3 linked regions of the Drosophila melanogaster genome follow. The protein of the gene in region 1 purifies or fractionates together with the protein of each later gene. This does not show direct contact. Each region holds a gene or a part of one and is shown in the gene's direction. Other genes may lie near its edges.

Region 1 (4,800 bases):
CATCTAATTGCTAATCATATCTGCAGGCCAAGTATCCATTGAAGCGGGAATTCACACTTACAACTTCGTGTGCCTGATTCCCACCGAATGTCCTTCGTCCTTCGAGGGATCACACGGCAGGGTGCGGTACATGGCAACCGTAACCCTCGTCAGGCCCTGGAAATTCGATCAGAGCTATACCCGATGCTTTACGGTGCTAAAAGTGATGGACTTGAACTTCGATAGTCCACTGCTAAGGGTACGAATCAAAATCAAACACGAATACATATCTGTTAGAACCTAAGCTAATTGAATATGTTATGTAGGTACCCGCCCACAGTGAAACCTCGAAGACCTACTGCTGCTGGCCTTGCCGATCAGATCCGTTGGCCCTCCAACTGACCGTTCCACAGACAGGATTTGTACCTGGCCAGAATGTTCCCCTTAGCGTGCTGGTCACAAACGATAGCCACATTCCGGTGGAGCAGCTCCTCATTAGTTTTGTGATGCTGGTGACATACCACAGTAAGCCACCTTCGATGCCCAATACCACGTCCGAGAGGTTGGTGGTAAACACCTTCAAGGGGGACGCTGTGCAAAGGAACTGCAAGAAGCTATTTAGCTATGAGATCAGAGTCCCGGCCACTCCGCCCACCTGCTTCAACCTGTGCGGCATCATCCAGATCGCCTACCAAGTGGAGGTGGAGGCCAGGGTGAAGGGTTGCCACAACAACGAGGTTGTCACCATTCCGCTGACCATTGGCAGTGTCCCTCTTGCACAACACGTACCAATCCAGCCTCGGGGTTTCGTCCCCCAGCTGAATGTTAATGAGCTGGCTGTTGAAGAAGTAGCCACTGCTCCAAACTCTTCAAGTCCATGGTCTGTCGACGCATCCATTCGTGAGTTTACTAGAATCCATAAACTAATTACAGTATCAATTTATGTTTTTTGTTGGTGTTTTTAGCTCCGCCCAACTATCAGGAGGCTGTTCACATGCGCAGCACGGCTGCAACGAGGTCAGACGACTTAGACGACCCGGAACCAGTACCGCCCAATACTCTCAGTTTGGATGGCGGTGCTTATAAGCCACTCTATCCGGTCTTCGACATACCCAGTCCCTCAGCTCCGCCGCCGACGGATTATACGCAGAATTATATGGCAGAGAGGGCCTTTGTCAATCCGGCCATGGATGTGGACAAAGACAAGGGAACGTGGCTATGAGAACGAAAATAAATACTATACTAGAAATGTAAGGGCGATAAAGCATTTGCACACAAGGCAAAAGTTCCACCTAACACTTTATAATAAACATTTTATCACAATTCCAAGACTGGTACAGGGTGGAGCGATTTTTGAAATTATTCGAAATTATATATATATTACCATATGTAGTCTAAGATTTTCAAACACGACGCTTTTCTTTCCTCTTGAAAACCCCTCGATGAATGCTGGCAATAACTTCCCCAGTGCCAAGGTCTCGACAACCAACTCTGATAACAGACCGAAAACCCCAAGTGAACGTCCGAGTAGTTCGCAAGGGAACTTATTATCGACTCTTATACAGTTTGGACTACGATTCCGTATCGTTCCCGGTGAAATCCGAATCCGACATCGGGTCCAAGTTATGGTTCTTATCGCTTATCTAACGACGCGGTCGCACCGCAAGCAGTCCAGAAGTTTTGTACTTAAATTAGTCGCAGTGAGTTGCCCCATAACATCGGTTTTAGCTTTTTCGCGCTCGGACATTTAATCTTGGGAAAAATGGTTGTTACGTGTGAGATCAGCTTCGATAATAATAAACATGGTACTTTCTACGCCGGTCAGCTGGTAAAAGGATGCGCGACCCTTAAATGTGACAGGTCCAAGGAGGTTCAAGGTAATTATAGTAAACGTTTAATAAACTACATTGAAAACAAATCCCAGAAGTTCGGCTAATTTCTTGAAGTTAGCTCTTCCTAGCGGCAGTATTATAAATATTTGCTCGATAACGATGTGTGTGTATGTAGAAATTGTATATTTTTATGACGACACTGAATTTAGCGGACATTCTTAGACGCGGAATGTGTTCGGTTGATTGATAACACTTTGAAGTGGCTTTGCTTTGGTATTATTTTAATAACGTGATTAGGAGGAAGGTTAGGCCCATCGCAAAATTTATTTTGAATTATATAAGGAATATTTTGATTTTACTGACAATATTTAAATTCTCCTCAAGTATTTATAACAGTTCAGTTGAGATTAGAATTGGCTTAACTATATTGTGCACTCCCAACTTTATTAACAGATTATATAGACACCATGATAACACTATATCCTAACTCTTTTCTTTATTTTCTCTTAAATCGCAGCTGTGCTGCTCAAGGTAGTCGGATATTCTATAACCAAGTGGAGCGAAAAGAGTCTGGGCTCGACAAAACTCTACGTGGGCCGGGAGGATTATCTATCATCAAATACTTATCTCGTGGGTTCCGAGCAAAGTGAGTAGAAACCTCAAAGATGTTTGCTTTTATAAACAATTTTATCTCCCAAAAAAGACAACACTCACAACAACACTCACAGACTCACTATTGAGGCTGGGGTTCACAGCTACAACTTCACCTGCCAGCTGCCCTATCAATGCCCCTCGTCCTTTGAGGGTCGCCATGGATGCATCCGCTATATAGTGAAAGTCCTGCTGATCAGACCGTGGAAGTTCGATCAGGCCTACACAAAGGGCTTCACGGTTCTCAAGATGCTGGATCTCAACTTTGACACTCCCCAGCTAAAGGTTAGTATGCAACTAGCAATGATGTATTTTGTGAAATATAAAATACTTCATAATACACTTAAAATGACTTTTTTTAAGTTGAAGACGTACAGACATTTTAGGTACTTTTAATGAACTATAGTTATATTTTACTTGTGGATTCAAAGTAATCATACTAAGATAATGATAATTCAAATGATTCGGTGTTATAGTGATACAAAAATTATATTTAGGTTAATTATATCGTATCGATTCATCCATTACAGTCCGCTGCCCACAGCGAGGGTTACCGCACCTTTTGCTGTGGTCCATGCAAGACGGATCCTTTAAAACTGGAGCTGCACCTTCCACAAGCAGGCTACGTTCCTGGCCAGAAGATTCCCGTGACCATTGTGGTAGTCAACAACACTGCCGTAGCCGTCTCCGAAATCCGACTCTCTCTGGTAATGCTGGTGAGATACTACAGCGTCAGTCCTGAACACTCTCGAGTGGAGCGATTAATAATATCGCGAGCTAAGGGGGAATCGGTGCTGAAGCAGTGCACCCGATCCCAGACCATCGATTTGCCCGTACCCTCAACGCCGCCCACCTGCGTGGAGTTGAGCAACCTCATCCAGATCGCCTACCAACTGGAGGTTGAGGCGTTGGTTAAGAGTCTACGCGAACAACAGCTGATGGTCATGCCGGTTACCGTTGGCACCATTCCTCTGGCGGTTTCGGGCATTGTGGTTCAACAACCTCCCCGGCGGAGCGCCCACTACGAAGGACCGGATTCCAGAAGGAATCCTCCCGACGAGCTACCCATGGTTACCGCACTTGAGAGCTTGCCCAGCGACCTGGCATCCAGTGCTGCTGATTCAGGTGAGATCATGATTTTGCAGTCTACGTGCCAATGAACTTGTAATGATTGACTGCAATCTTATCAAATTCTTTAACGAACTGAGCACGAAGTTTTTGTAGACATCGCCTATACTTTCAAAACATATGCCAAACGCAAGCTTCAAGTGCCATTACTAGGTAATAATAAAATGGCTAACAAAAGTTCAAAAGAAAATAATAAATAATGTATTACGGCTTATATAGTCACTTTGAGTAGAAGAAAAGGTGCGAAACTTATTTCCAGATTAACAAATATTTTTAAATTTAAACGATAAGAAAAGCTTGCATGGGTAGTATAACTTACTTTATATTTTATTTATAATAGTTATGTTTACTAAACCACGTTATTCTTCTACTTTACAGCGCTCCCCAATTATGAGGAGTCCCGTCACACTCAGCGGGGCAATATCAACGAAGAGGAACTACATGCCTTCGGGAGCAATGAGTTTGCTCCACTTTATCCCGTGTATAGTATACCTAGTCCTACGCCCGTGCTCACGGCAAACGCCCGGAATGCGGGATTCGTCAACCAAAGTTTTGTCAAATAGAGCATTTTAATTTTGAAAAACTTATCACTAAGATGTTTCAATTGGCAATACTTGATTGGATTCATTGTAGACCAAAAACCAAAAAAAATAAACTTATTTAAATGTCCATACAGTACTCAATTTATTTGTACTCTTAAGATACCTTTGACCCTCCTCTCACTTTACATCTTACATTACAGCGCGAAATATTCTAAAAACTTGTATGTTACAGTATAAATATTACTGTAAAGTACAGTATTAAATAATATAATTTTTAACAATACATTCTTCAGTGCAACTATAAATTTAGCTTCTGGTTATACATTATCCTTACTTTCTAAATTGTGCTGTTATAGTAAATATTGCAAGAGCTAACTTTACAGACAATAATAAATAGGTAGGAATAAGAATTAGAAATAATTCATTTAAGTACACTTTTCAGTATGTAATATATTTTGATGTAATATACAGAGGAAACCGAAAAATGTATTCTTACTGCAAATAACTTACATTACGAGGTAAGAAATAATTGGTAGATAACGTGAAAGTTACATTCTATAATATCCTGTACTGTGTATGCTGTTAATATACAAAGAAAACCGAACAATGTATCCTTACTGCTATGTAAGAAGTATTTTGTAACTTACAAATAACTTACATTTCGAGGT
Region 2 (4,560 bases), on another chromosome or scaffold:
CTCCGGCCTGGTCCAAAGTGGACCGCGTCCTGGTCAGCCAGATATTCTTGGCGGGCCACCACAGGGCGTGATCGGACCAATCCTTGGGCAACTCCGGATCCACCAGGTTCAGCATTACGCCGCCAATGTGCTGGTCACCCTTCACGCGCAGCGTCTTCTCCACCTGCAGATCCGTGATGAGGATCCGCAGGTTCCACGTATTTTCGCCCACATGAATCATCTTTCGCTAAAAGTTCCGATGCGCGGGCGTCTCTTCTGTCCAAAGGCGAAACTATAACTGCGGGTATATTTGTATAGTGTATATATATGGCACAATCAGAGTCTAAATTTGCCCTCGAAACGATGACGTAATTCAACTTACGTTCAGCACCGTTTTTGCAACCAAGTTTTTGTTGTTCTTGTCGTTGTCGTTGGCTGGCGGGGAGCGGAGAGGGGGGGACTGCGACTGTGGCGGTGGCGAAACTATATAGGCCCTTATCTCGCCAGATGTTTGCACGGAAACAGAAACGCCAGCGAAACAGACCCAACAATCCAACAAGCCGAGTAATCCAGATCAAAATCGTTGGATGTAGAGATGGTGGTGGTATGTATGATGATAAAAGGGGGGGAGAGGCGGGGATGTACGGATCACTTGATTAACACACGCCCAAGGTTACGATTTTGATGGCTTGCTTGCTGCTGCTTGGGATGTTTTGTTTTCCCGATCTCTCTAGCAATCGCAATTCGCAGCGTTTTCCTCGCTCTTTTCCTCGCACATCAACACACCGACGAACACTAATGCACGCGCTCAAAAATGCGATGCAAATTTTCACAAAACAACACGTCGCGGGCGACGAGACAAAGCGAACGAGCCGAGATAGAGAGAAATTAATTTATAAATAAACCAGCAGCAGAGCAGTATGACCGTTTGTCTGCGCATATCGATGGTTCGCGCCAGCGAAATCGAACTTATCGGAACGGATGGTAAGAAGTATAGTTTAAATTTTGTTAAAAATTACATCGAAAATTAAGCAATACCATTTACCGTTAATTCTCGTGCTTAGTTTTTTGTTATTAAACTTACTGCAAGAGATATTAACCACCATACATTCTTATAAATTCTACTTTCACAATTGAACCGTGGATAGGGCATACCTAATACATTAGATTCGCATGATTTAATATAATTCGTATTCGACTTGAAACGAATTTGTGTATGGCAATCTATTGTATTGTATCAATTGTATTGTATCATAATATCGGACAGGCAAAGAACAATGAAGTCGTGGAGATTGGCACTATTGTTCCTCATTTATTTCTTCGAATTGGCTTATTCCATACGTACCTGTGGCCCAGGACGAGAAAGGAACTGTCATATTAATACTAAGCAAAAATATCAAAGGCCGAAACATTATTAACGTAACCACATGTTAACAGTAAGCACATATTTTAAAATGAGGGTACAAATATGAAAAGTGTATCGATATTTATTTTTTTCCAGAAATGGGGGTCACACCGGCCCAATGGTCATCTCTAAGTTATCGTAACGAAAAATATAGTTCTGTTGTTTTAATAATTTTAGTAGAAAGCAAATCTGCTATTATGAATATCAATTTAAATTAACGCATGTTCCAGTTAACTAATTTGTTATAAAGCAAAAGTACATGCATATATAAAAACAATACTGGTTTTTCTCCTCCTCTCTCGCTGTTTCGCTCTTTCCGCTCTTTTTCTCCACACCGCATTCGTAAACAAAGACAATGAAAGCTCCAGTTGAACGGCTAAAGAGGCCTCAAAGCCCCCAGATTGTTTTTCGCCGTTGAGCCGAGCGCACGTATTCGAAAAAACAACTAATAGTGTATAATAGTGCAGTATTGTGTAAAACACGCGCGTCTCTGCTTTCTCGCTCTGGCACCCACCCATACACTTTCGCGTGCCCATACACACATACCTGTAAGAGAGCGAGATACGAAAAACGGTGCATGGAAAATAGGAAAATCGGAACTGAAAAAGTCGGAATTTCGTTTAATCAAGTTAGCTGCGCGTACTACTGTCAGTTTCGAATTGAAAGTGCCGGCCCAGGGTTTTTCAAATAGTCATATCGTTAAGAAATTCGAAATAAGACACACACCCACAAGTTCTCGGACAAAAACATCTCGGCACGAAAAAATCGATGCAGCAATGTAAAAATTTGACAAACTCCCGTACCACAGAATGAAAGCAACAATTGAGTTACACACATATACATAGTGTAGTTAAGCGGTGTGTTACGTTCATATACATACTCGTAACAATAATAAAAAAAAGCGCGGCGCAACAACCCGAGCGGCTTATTCATCCATGCAGGAGATTCGAGATACAAAACATCAGATACAATAGCAAAACAGCAGTCTAGCATCGAAATTTTAGTCAGTTGAAAAAAACCGAAAAGCACAAGAAATTTTCATTTTGTTCGGTCCCTTAACGATAAATCCTAACGTTTTTGGCAATTAACGAATATTGTAGCTGTGGAAAGGAGCCACACTACAGCAAATACACCAACATTAAGCGGTTGATAAACCCGAACTCAGAGCAACTTGAAGACTGGAAGACATACGTAATTACAACAAATTGCAGCAACAACAAAGCAACGCCTACGACACGCCAGTGATTACAACAATAATAGCAGCAAAAGCAAAAACGAAATTATTTACCACAACAAGGCATAACCTGTTGTAGCTATTTCACTGTACTGCATTGTTGCTCACCTCTCGGCATCTAAAATTGGGCATTCACAAGCGGCTTATAGTAAATACGCGTTTAACCATCGGCTGTGAATACACAATCATTATATAGCCGGAATCTGCAAGTGGCACACCTGTGGCCACGGGTCAGTTGAACACCAGTTGGAGCAACAGCATCGCCATCATCATCACCATCACCATCACAGCCACAAGTACACACAATGTCGAGACTCACCGAGGAAATGGTGATAGCGCGGGCCAAGCAATCCGATTTGTCCCTGATCAAAAAGCTAAATTGCTGGTAAGTAGACAGCCCAAATAACTAGAAATATTTATAGAATATATCATCATATCATACTGAATAACGAAAGGAATGCTTGCATTAGTGCAATAACTAGATTGTTTGTAAATTTTTAGTCAGCGGCATATTAATCATGCTTTAGCAAAGTTAGGACGACTAATTGTTTATTATTGTTCAGACTCAACCCACTGTTAATTTCATCGATTTTCGATCTAATTTTCGCCTGTGCATTGATCTATTGCTAATCGTGCTGGGGCAGGTGCAGCCACTATAGTGAAAGCTTCGATCTGTGTTGAATGGGTCTGCGATCTGGTGTCTGGGGTTTGGGGGATCTGCCCACTTTGCTGCTCACTTCGGTCGCTCCGGCTGCTTTCACTCGACCCAATTCCAGGGGCAATCTTCTAACCAGTTTAGAAGTGTCCACTTTGGAGCGAGTCACGATTTCCTGGACTGGAAAAACACGCGCCCCTCGAGAAAAACGGTTGGAAAAGCGTGAAAAGCAGTTGAACTACTTTCCGTGATGGGCCCCCAACTCTTGACCCATCTGCGATAAGCGTGTTGCCTGCTAAGAGGGCTCCACTGTACATTATTTATCTTTATTAAAATGCCATCTATTCTGTGCTTATTTCAGGGGCAGTGATCTCAGCGATGTGTCCATCATCAAGCGAATGCGTGGAGTGGAAGTTCTGGCTCTTAGGTAAGTCACAAGTCGTGAAATATTTCTTCTATAAGGATCATTTTGATTTCCTGACTCGGTGCCTTTTGATTGATACAAAGTGTGCGGCTCGCCGCCGAGAGAATGCGGTAGAGATATATATATTAAAAAGCTAGCGAGATATTTGCTTTCCAGTGATGTCATCGCCCCATCATTAGGCAAGCTCAAATACGAAAGATACTTTGGCACGCTCAAGCGCGTAATTAATGCAAAAAGCTGGGGACGCAGAAAACTACAGAAAATAAGCTAAAAGTCGTGGGAGCTCCCAAATTGGCAATAGCAACTGGCCGCGTACTTTTCCAAGTCGCGTAGGCCACACTGCGTAGTGGGCAGATACTATAGTTATGACTCGTATCTGCTAGATACTTTTGTATCTCGCTGTGCCTTGTACCTCATCTGGTACTGCTGGATACTTGTTGTACTTGCATGTCGCTCGATAAGTTTGCATGTGCTGCTGCTGCTGCTGCTGCTTTTGCTGATTTCGCCACTTTTGCCATAAAAGGCGACAATCATTTTGACTGCCAAGGTCGCCGAAATCCATTTCACCCCCCCAAAAACTTCTGTCATCTGTTGGCAATGTGCTGAAAACTCTCGACTCTTGCGATTCGTTTAATTATGCATAAAACAGATATAGATGGAGGTGCATATATACAAGAGTTCGTGGCCTTATAGGGAGATTTGGCATTGAACTTAGGGGAAAAGAACCGTGAGAATAACAGGAAATAATAATTTAGGTATGGGCGAATCAGCTATTTCAGATGAAGCGAATAATATGTCGACCCAGTGAACAGGAAGCTATAATTATGGTATTGAAGTTGTAGATATCGCACCTTAAACAGAAA
Region 3 (7,690 bases), on another chromosome or scaffold:
TCGACCATTTGCCAGCCAAATGAGTATATTGTGCCAGATAATGCCGTGGTAGGGGATGTACTGGTGCTAACCAAGCCACTGGGCACCCAAGTGGCCGTGAATGCCCACCAGTGGATTGACCAGCCGGAGCGCTGGAACCGCATTAAGCTGGTGGTGTCCGAAGAAGATGTACGCAAGGCCTACCACCGGGCGATGAACTCTATGGCTCGCCTCAACCGCGTAGCCGCTCGCCTCATGCACAAGTACAATGCCCACGGAGCCACCGATATTACTGGATTCGGACTACTAGGCCACGCTCAAACCCTGGCTGCACATCAGAAAAAGGATGTCTCCTTTGTTATCCACAATCTGCCGGTGATCGCCAAGATGGCTGCAGTGGCCAAAGCCTGCGGCAACATGTTCCAGCTGCTGCAGGGCCACTCGGCGGAGACCTCGGGAGGATTACTGATCTGCCTGCCGCGAGAGCAGGCCGCTGCTTATTGCAAGGACATCGAGAAGCAGGAGGGCTACCAGGCCTGGATCATCGGCATCGTTGAGAAGGGCAATAAGACCGCACGCATCATCGACAAGCCCCGCGTCATTGAGGTGCCCGCCAAGGACTAGGTCTCCATTGCCTGACCATCTGCTATTGTCTACCTTAAGTATCTTAATATTAACGTAACGGCTGCTACATTCAGTTGTAACCGGCATGATCGGTCTTTGTTTTTTATAAAAAAGCTTATCAACTACAGATTCACTGATCATTATAATCTTGGACGTCTCTACTGCAATACGAGTGAATAAAATGAAAACACTTGAATCTTTTGTATCGAGTAATTGGAATGCGGGGCATCTGAATGAGCTTTTTCCAGTCAACTTTGTTATTAAATTACAGCTCACAGTTTGGCAAAAAGTGGAGCATCTTCGGAATCGCATACATTTTGAACAGTTGTGTGTTGAGAATTTAATCGACTTATTTAACCCACTAAATAAGTTGTAGAAGTCACATTTATTTTTGTTTAGTTAGTGCACCTGCGCTTTGAGGCTAAAAACTCAGCTGGTGTAAATTTTAAATTTGCTTGCTGATTTTAGTTTACAGTCGCATGCTTATGAAATCAGCACGCGTTTTGAAAGTCAAATTGTTGGAGGTTTAAGTGAATTTTAATCGTTAAGCTTTGTTTCGCAGTTCAAACTTGGGAGCGGGTTATCAGGAAAGTAATTGTCAAGTACCAAGCCAGCAAAAAGAAGTGTCATGTATCTCATTTAGATACGTGTGCTGATAGTACCTTCAGATAGTTTAAAACATGTTTGAGTACAGGAATATTCTTACTAAAAATATGATCATTTTGAACTGAACTTCATTTGAAAATTAATTGGTTATGATAAGTTTGAGAGTGAATTTCGGAAACATGGACATTTAAAGAGACATTTAAAGGACGTTGATTTGTTGAGGAGAATTTAGCATGGGTTATCAGATACCCTAACCTCCTAACCTCTATTGTTCGATCAATCGGCATTAGTTGCGGAGAGCGAAAAGCTTTGCAAGCTCTAAAAACCAAAACCGAGCGAGAGATGCTCTCGTGCGAACAGGTCTCCGGCAAGTTGCCATCGGATGGGATCGGATCGCACTGGTGGGGATCGGGATCGCTGGTGGCAAGTGCGGATCGTGGGCCTCAGTACCGCCCGAGCTAGCGACGCGTTAAGATCCGCATCCGAATCGTAAACACAACGAGAAACTTACACTGCGCGCACCGTTACACTTTTGTGCTGGGAGCGATCGAACACTAATACACTGACCAACGAATTTCCCGCACAACGAAGAGATTTTCCCTCCCCAATTGAACTGTACTTGGACGTACGTTGCGTTTTTGGAGTTTTGGAAAAGTGCACAGTGAGTGCTGCAAGTATTTGTACATACAGAGCCACATAGCGATACAAACGTCGATAGATAGAAAGATACATATGTAGATAGTGTGTGGGCTGTTGGGGCTCTTTGCTGTTCGGTGTTTGGTGTTTGGAAGACGAGCTCAAAAACCGCAGTTAGAAACTAGTTTTCCCTACGTGTCGTGGTCGTGGTCGCAGTGGCAGTGGCAGTTGCTGTAGTCGCTGCCTTACATGAACGTGGAAGTACTCGCTTTTTGAAGTGAAATTCGAAAACGCATCCTCCTCGACCATGTAGCGATGTATCTGGCGGATCGCTATTCCTTGTGTATCTCTTCGTGGCCAGATGATTCATGTACGGTGGGCACTCGTACGTACACTCGATTTATTTCCCGACGGAACGGCGCAGTATTCAAATTGAAAGAACAGTGGCAGTGAACTAAAAATAGAATTATTTGTTTTCATATACCAACCGACGAAAATGAGAAAAAAAAAAAAAAATACGAAATAAAATGGCTCGGCAAAAAGCGAAAAGTCGAAAAGTCGAAAAGACTTTGCTCGCCCAGTAAATGTATCTGTGTATCTTTGCATCTGTATCCGAATCGTACGCTCACTAAACTTTCGTTTAATTTAGCCAAGTTCAAACGGCGTCTACAGCTTGTTTATGTCCGCCTGACTTGAACTCGTGTATTGTTTTCGGTGTTCGCCTTGTGTGTGGGTGCCACAAATTGGCAACTCGACACACAGATACGCAACACACTCGCACCGCTGGTAGAACGAACATAAACATATCTACATATAGATAATGATACATGCCTGGCGCATATATAGACGTTAGATTTCGCCTACGTTTTGATATTTGATTTTCGGAAATTTCAACAACAGAACGCCAGCGACGACGACAACACCTTCGCTTTTTATTTTGGCCATTTCAAACTTGTTGTTAGCTCGATATTTGTTTATTTTACGAGTTTGTTTGCTATTGCCTACGTATGCTATATGGCATTTGGTGATCTGTGATCAGCACTCTCGCTTCCCCTTTGCGCAGCCACGCCCACTTGATTGGCTTAACCCAAAGCGAAGGCATCTTCTCCAATTCTTTTGGAAAATCGCGTCTTTTCAACATTTTTTCCTTTGCATATCTATTTTGAAGTGATGATTTAACCGGCATACCAAACAAATTTTTTAACCATTTTAATTTAGATTTATAATCTCAAAAACAACTCATTTGTAATGCGTTAAATCAACACAATGCCATAAAGTTCTCAGAATTTTCTGTTGAAACACCTATTTTCAAAATTGCTATTTTTCCATATTTCAATCTGTGATTCATAACAAACATCCCACCTTTTAAGATAAATGTTTACGTTTGAGAAGAATTTGCGTGAGATAAGTAAAGTTATTTGTAGATTTTTTGTACTTTATGCATTGAACCTTATAATGGTTTATCTTAATAAAATGGAAATATCAGAATACATTTTTCGAAAAATGTAATTGATTAGTTTGTTCCTTGTTAGAAACACAATTAAGTTAAGTTTCTCATCGCTGGCAAACTTTCTCGAGCCTTATAAAGATAGTTGGCTAATATTAAGTTGGCCTTAAGTAGAATACTTGGAAAGCGGGCGTTATCTTTATAAAATAAACTTTGCTTAAACTGAGCAAAATTCATAATTGCAAAGATTTTCATTCATAAAACTGCAAAACTAACCCAGCATGCTAAAATGGCGTGTAATGCCTCAACGGGTTAATTCCGATCGCCAGACAGACAGCAACATGTTTTTGCTCCCCAGAGCTCCAAACCCCCCAGTATATGAGATCATTTCTGAGCTGCCTGTGTATACATATGCAAAAACAAACCATGCTCTCCGCTCTCCGGTCATTTGTGTTTGTTTTTGTTTTCGTCGCCAATCGGAGGCCCAGAGAACTGCTAAAAACGTGCTGAGATCGGGGGAACCGAGCTATATAGCGTGCGTATATAGTAGTGGGCGGGTTGTGGGGGAAGTGGGGGGGAGGTTTCGTTGGAGGTGGCGGCGGCATCAATTAGATTTGGCCTTTTATCTATATTCTATTGGGCTATTTTATGTGTGTGTTTGTCTGACGTGAGGCATTATTATTTGTGTTTTATGTAGCTTTATTTCTTTATTAGCTGTATTCCGTTGACCATATGGCATGTGGCATCCCTCGACCCCCATACACCCCCCCCCCCTTCATCCATTTCCATTCAAAGGTGATTTATTTAGCTCGCCTTGATTTGATTACTTAAGCTCCAATTTGCGTTGACGTTTAATGCAGTTGCTGTCACAAAGCGTCGTCTTATGACATCATCGTCGGTAGTCGGTAGTCGGTCATCCTTCTCGGATTTTTGCATCATCTCCGACTATCTCTCACTCCAAGGTTATCTCTGAAAATCGAGAAAAAAACTGCATTCATACATGTATCTATATATACAGACTAAAAAGGAGTTTAAGGACACGTTGCCGAAAGTGAAAACCAGTTTGACATTGAAATTTCGACTTTGTGCCTCTGTCTGTTTTTTGGTTTTTTTGCCTGTTTGTCAGTTCTGAAAATCAATGCCAGCATTTTTGGTTTCTCTGCCAAAGGGTATTATTATTTTAAGGTCCTCAAAATGGGTATATGCTATTAAAAGATAACACATTTATTATTAATACTTTGCCTTGAAACTTCAAGGTTGTGTAAATTTATTGTTCAAATTAAAAGCTTGTGAACTGACAAATAAATTTGTATCGATTATTGTAAATATGAACATGGAAATTTATAGCCATAACATCCACCTAATATTATAGTTTAAACTACAGAAAAACTCACTGATAGCGATTAATACTCCATATAATAAAACTATATTTTTATATAGCCAATATAAGCATTTATATAACAAGATTAATTATGATGGAAAATATGGATTTTCATGATAATAAACGGTTTCGTTTGTCAGATAACGATATTATCATAACAATCTAATCTGATATGTATATTTTAATATAGGTTAAAACCACGGAATTCTCAAATCAAGACTATAGTTTAAATATTTTTCAAGTTGGTAGCTAGTGGTTGATGGACAGCCCAGCTTTACCAAGTAGACTTAAGTTCTGTAAGGACTGGCCCTTAACAACCATCTCCGCCGCTTTCTAGAGCATTTCATCTTCGCATGACAGGCTCCGTCTGTTCATCGCATCCATTGTGAATTGGCATTCCATACTTTGTGTGCTCAAGTGATGCCCACTTCAGATGACTTAAGCTTCCATTAATGCGCCAAAAGTTCTCACTTCAGAGTGGCGAATGCGGCCATGTTCGAAAATCGACATTGGCGTGGGTGGGGAAAAATGCTTGGGATTCTGGCGAACCGCCTTGACGCGAAATCAACCTGCTATTCGGGGTCGGAATCCGTGATTACGTGTCAGACACCCACGAGTCGTTTGATTTACTCACACGTAGAATTTGAATAATTTATGAATGATACTGGTTTCCGTTTCAGCTAAAAAACTAATTGGAAATGCAGTACTCGAGCAGTTCGGAAAATTACTCATCCTCGTTGCGGGACAAGCCCTCGAAATGGGGCAGGGTAAGCCTTGATTTATGGTCCACATCGGTTAGTAAATCACTCATACGTCACCATTAATTCCTCAGAACGACAAGAACTACGCCTATAAGAAGTCATCCTATCAATACTCGAGTTCTGGCGACAACAATGTCTCGTATCAGGGCAAATCCCCCGACCAGAACATAGATCAATTGGATGCCTTGTTGGAGGATCTGAAGCAGGAACGACAGATTACCAACAGGGAACGCGATCTGCTGCCCAGCAATGGAACCACTTATAGGACACTGTAAGTTTGCACACGATCTCAAATTGTAGTAACTTTACAAGGATTAATGTTTTGATGTTTTGGTGTAGTGAACGCACTGATCCCTCGGGCACCGTAACGAGGACTACGCGAGTGGTCAAGACCAGCAAGCACTCGGGCACCGGTGGCCAGCAGCCATTTATTGATGATGTGGAGACCTTCAGTCCCACCGACTACAGCACCCTGCAGTCCACGGCCAAGTACTCCAGCTTGAAGAGGGACGAGTTCCAGACCAAGGACAAGCCCTATACTCTGGGTAAGAGTTAAAGAGCATATCCAGTGGCACCACTTAAACTAAAATCTTATACGATTTCAGCCCACTCCCCCAGTGGTGGACACTACGAGAGCAAGTCGAAGATCTACGAAAGCAATCGCACCATTAACAACAATGTGGAGCTGCTGCCTGCAACGAGCAGCACACATCAGACTTTGACCAGCGGCACCACCATTGACAAGGAGCTGCAGGACATCGCTCTGGGCGATGGCATCCTGCCTGCCCCAGGCACCAAGGTGACCACCACGGTGAGGACCTACACCTATGAGATCCCGGCCACTGGTCCCGGCAGCAACACCAGCACCATTAACCGCACCCACACGCTGAACAACTCGAATACGCTGAGCAGCACCTACAAGCACCACGAAAGCCACAACTCCAGTCAGAACTTCTCGCAGCTGTCGCCCGTTCCGCACCCACAGCCTAGCCATGTGCCACAGACGGTGGTTTACAACACTGAGAGCTACTCCACGTTGAACCGGAACAGCGATCGTCCGGTGGTTAGCAACCAGTCGTACGAGATCAGAGAGCACAAGGAGACCACCACTCGCGGCGTGAGCCCACAGCCCCGTCAACTACCTTTGGGATCGGGTCCGGCGGGAACTCCACCGGGCAATCGTACGGTCATCTACAACATCCACAAGACGGATCACGTCAACACAGTCAACGAGCTGCCACCACAGCAGCGCTATCCGCCGCGCAGTCCGGCTCACAGTCCCAACTACGGAGGACCACACAGTCCACCACTACAGCCGGGAGTGAATCGCTACTACTACAAGGAGACGGAGACCTCGAACACGGTCAATAGCATCCACGGACCGCCGAACGGTGGACCTTACGAGCCGGGTCTACCTCAGTCCGCTCCGCTGAAACAGCTGCCGCCCAACAACGCGTATCCACAGCAGCCACCAAATGGAAATGGTTATCCACCGAATTCGACCACTTACAGCTACAAATACTCCTCGACCACCAACACAAACAACCGACGTGGCCCGGACTACGGCTCGCCATCTCCATTCCCCGTGGATGGCGTGGAGTATCCAGTGAATAGCAATCCTCCCCAGCGAGTGGACGATCTGATGCAGTCATTCGGAACTGTAAGTATTTGAAGTATACTGAAGTTACTTTCCAATTTCTGTTTGTTTAAAAACTAATCAGTAATAGCTTCTTGTTTGCAAGTCAGTAATTAAGCCACTAATAACTTGGTGAAACCGATTAGAACGAAAGTCGTTATCGCAATGCCAAAAAACTGGTAGTTAGAGAATACTTTCGTATGAACTCATAATACCTCAGTTAGATAAAGATAACACATTTATCATTTTAATGGTATCATAATTACTTATACTTGGCAGTGATTTTTATGATCTTTGATTTGACTCCGTATCTACTCTATATCTTAGACCACCGACCATGTGGATCGCGTGGACATTGAGACTCCAGTGCGCAAGCGTGAAATCGAGACGGCGGTTGCCTCGCCCAACCAACAGCATGTGCCATCGGTGAACAAGGCGGGAAAAGAGGTGTACTATCCACCCGGACACGACACCATCGTCATGAAGCGCGAGGAGATGCATGCTGGATCTGCCTCAGGCGTGAGTATTGGATACTTACCAAGGTGGAATATGCCCAACTGATAATCCTACATCCACAGGGTCGCTGGGCCAAGGGATCCGGAATGTACGAGTACGAGTCC

What was found. The genes of interacting proteins can lie anywhere in the genome.
Region 2: the proteins of CG18747 (region 1) and CG14995 purify together in Drosophila melanogaster (affinity purification with mass spectrometry, with the first as the bait; one large-scale study listed by BioGRID). This does not show direct contact.
Region 3: the proteins of CG18747 (region 1) and CG8547 purify together in Drosophila melanogaster (affinity purification with mass spectrometry, with the first as the bait; one large-scale study listed by BioGRID). This does not show direct contact.

The regions. Positions count from the first base shown.
Region 1 is NT_033777.3:7,780,343-7,785,142, reverse strand, and holds CG18747 (uncharacterized protein), read left to right. Parts: upstream 1-1,696; 5' UTR 1,697-1,741; coding exon 1,742-1,856; intron 1,857-2,328; coding exon 2,329-2,457; intron 2,458-2,514; coding exon 2,515-2,747; intron 2,748-2,992; coding exon 2,993-3,587; intron 3,588-3,968; coding exon 3,969-4,153; 3' UTR 4,154-4,259; downstream 4,260-4,800. Other genes in the region: CG18745 (uncharacterized protein), read left to right, coding at 27-238, 306-879, 945-1,201.
Region 2 is NT_037436.4:4,099,920-4,104,479, reverse strand, and holds the start of CG14995 (uncharacterized protein), read left to right. Parts: upstream 1-1,519; 5' UTR 1,520-2,923; coding exon 2,924-3,003; intron 3,004-3,265; exon of another isoform or gene 3,266-3,299; coding exon of another isoform or gene 3,300-3,484; intron 3,485-3,634; coding exon 3,635-3,700; intron 3,701-4,560. Other genes in the region: Fit1 (fermitin 1), read right to left, coding at 1-220.
Region 3 is NT_033778.4:14,261,879-14,269,568, reverse strand, and holds the start of CG8547 (uncharacterized protein), read left to right. Parts: upstream 1-1,649; 5' UTR 1,650-1,870; intron 1,871-2,071; exon of another isoform or gene 2,072-2,230; intron 2,231-5,353; 5' UTR 5,354-5,371; coding exon 5,372-5,440; intron 5,441-5,505; coding exon 5,506-5,705; intron 5,706-5,773; coding exon 5,774-5,979; intron 5,980-6,039; coding exon 6,040-7,094; intron 7,095-7,397; coding exon 7,398-7,589; intron 7,590-7,648; coding exon 7,649-7,690. Other genes in the region: Sps1 (selenophosphate synthetase 1), read left to right, coding at 1-603.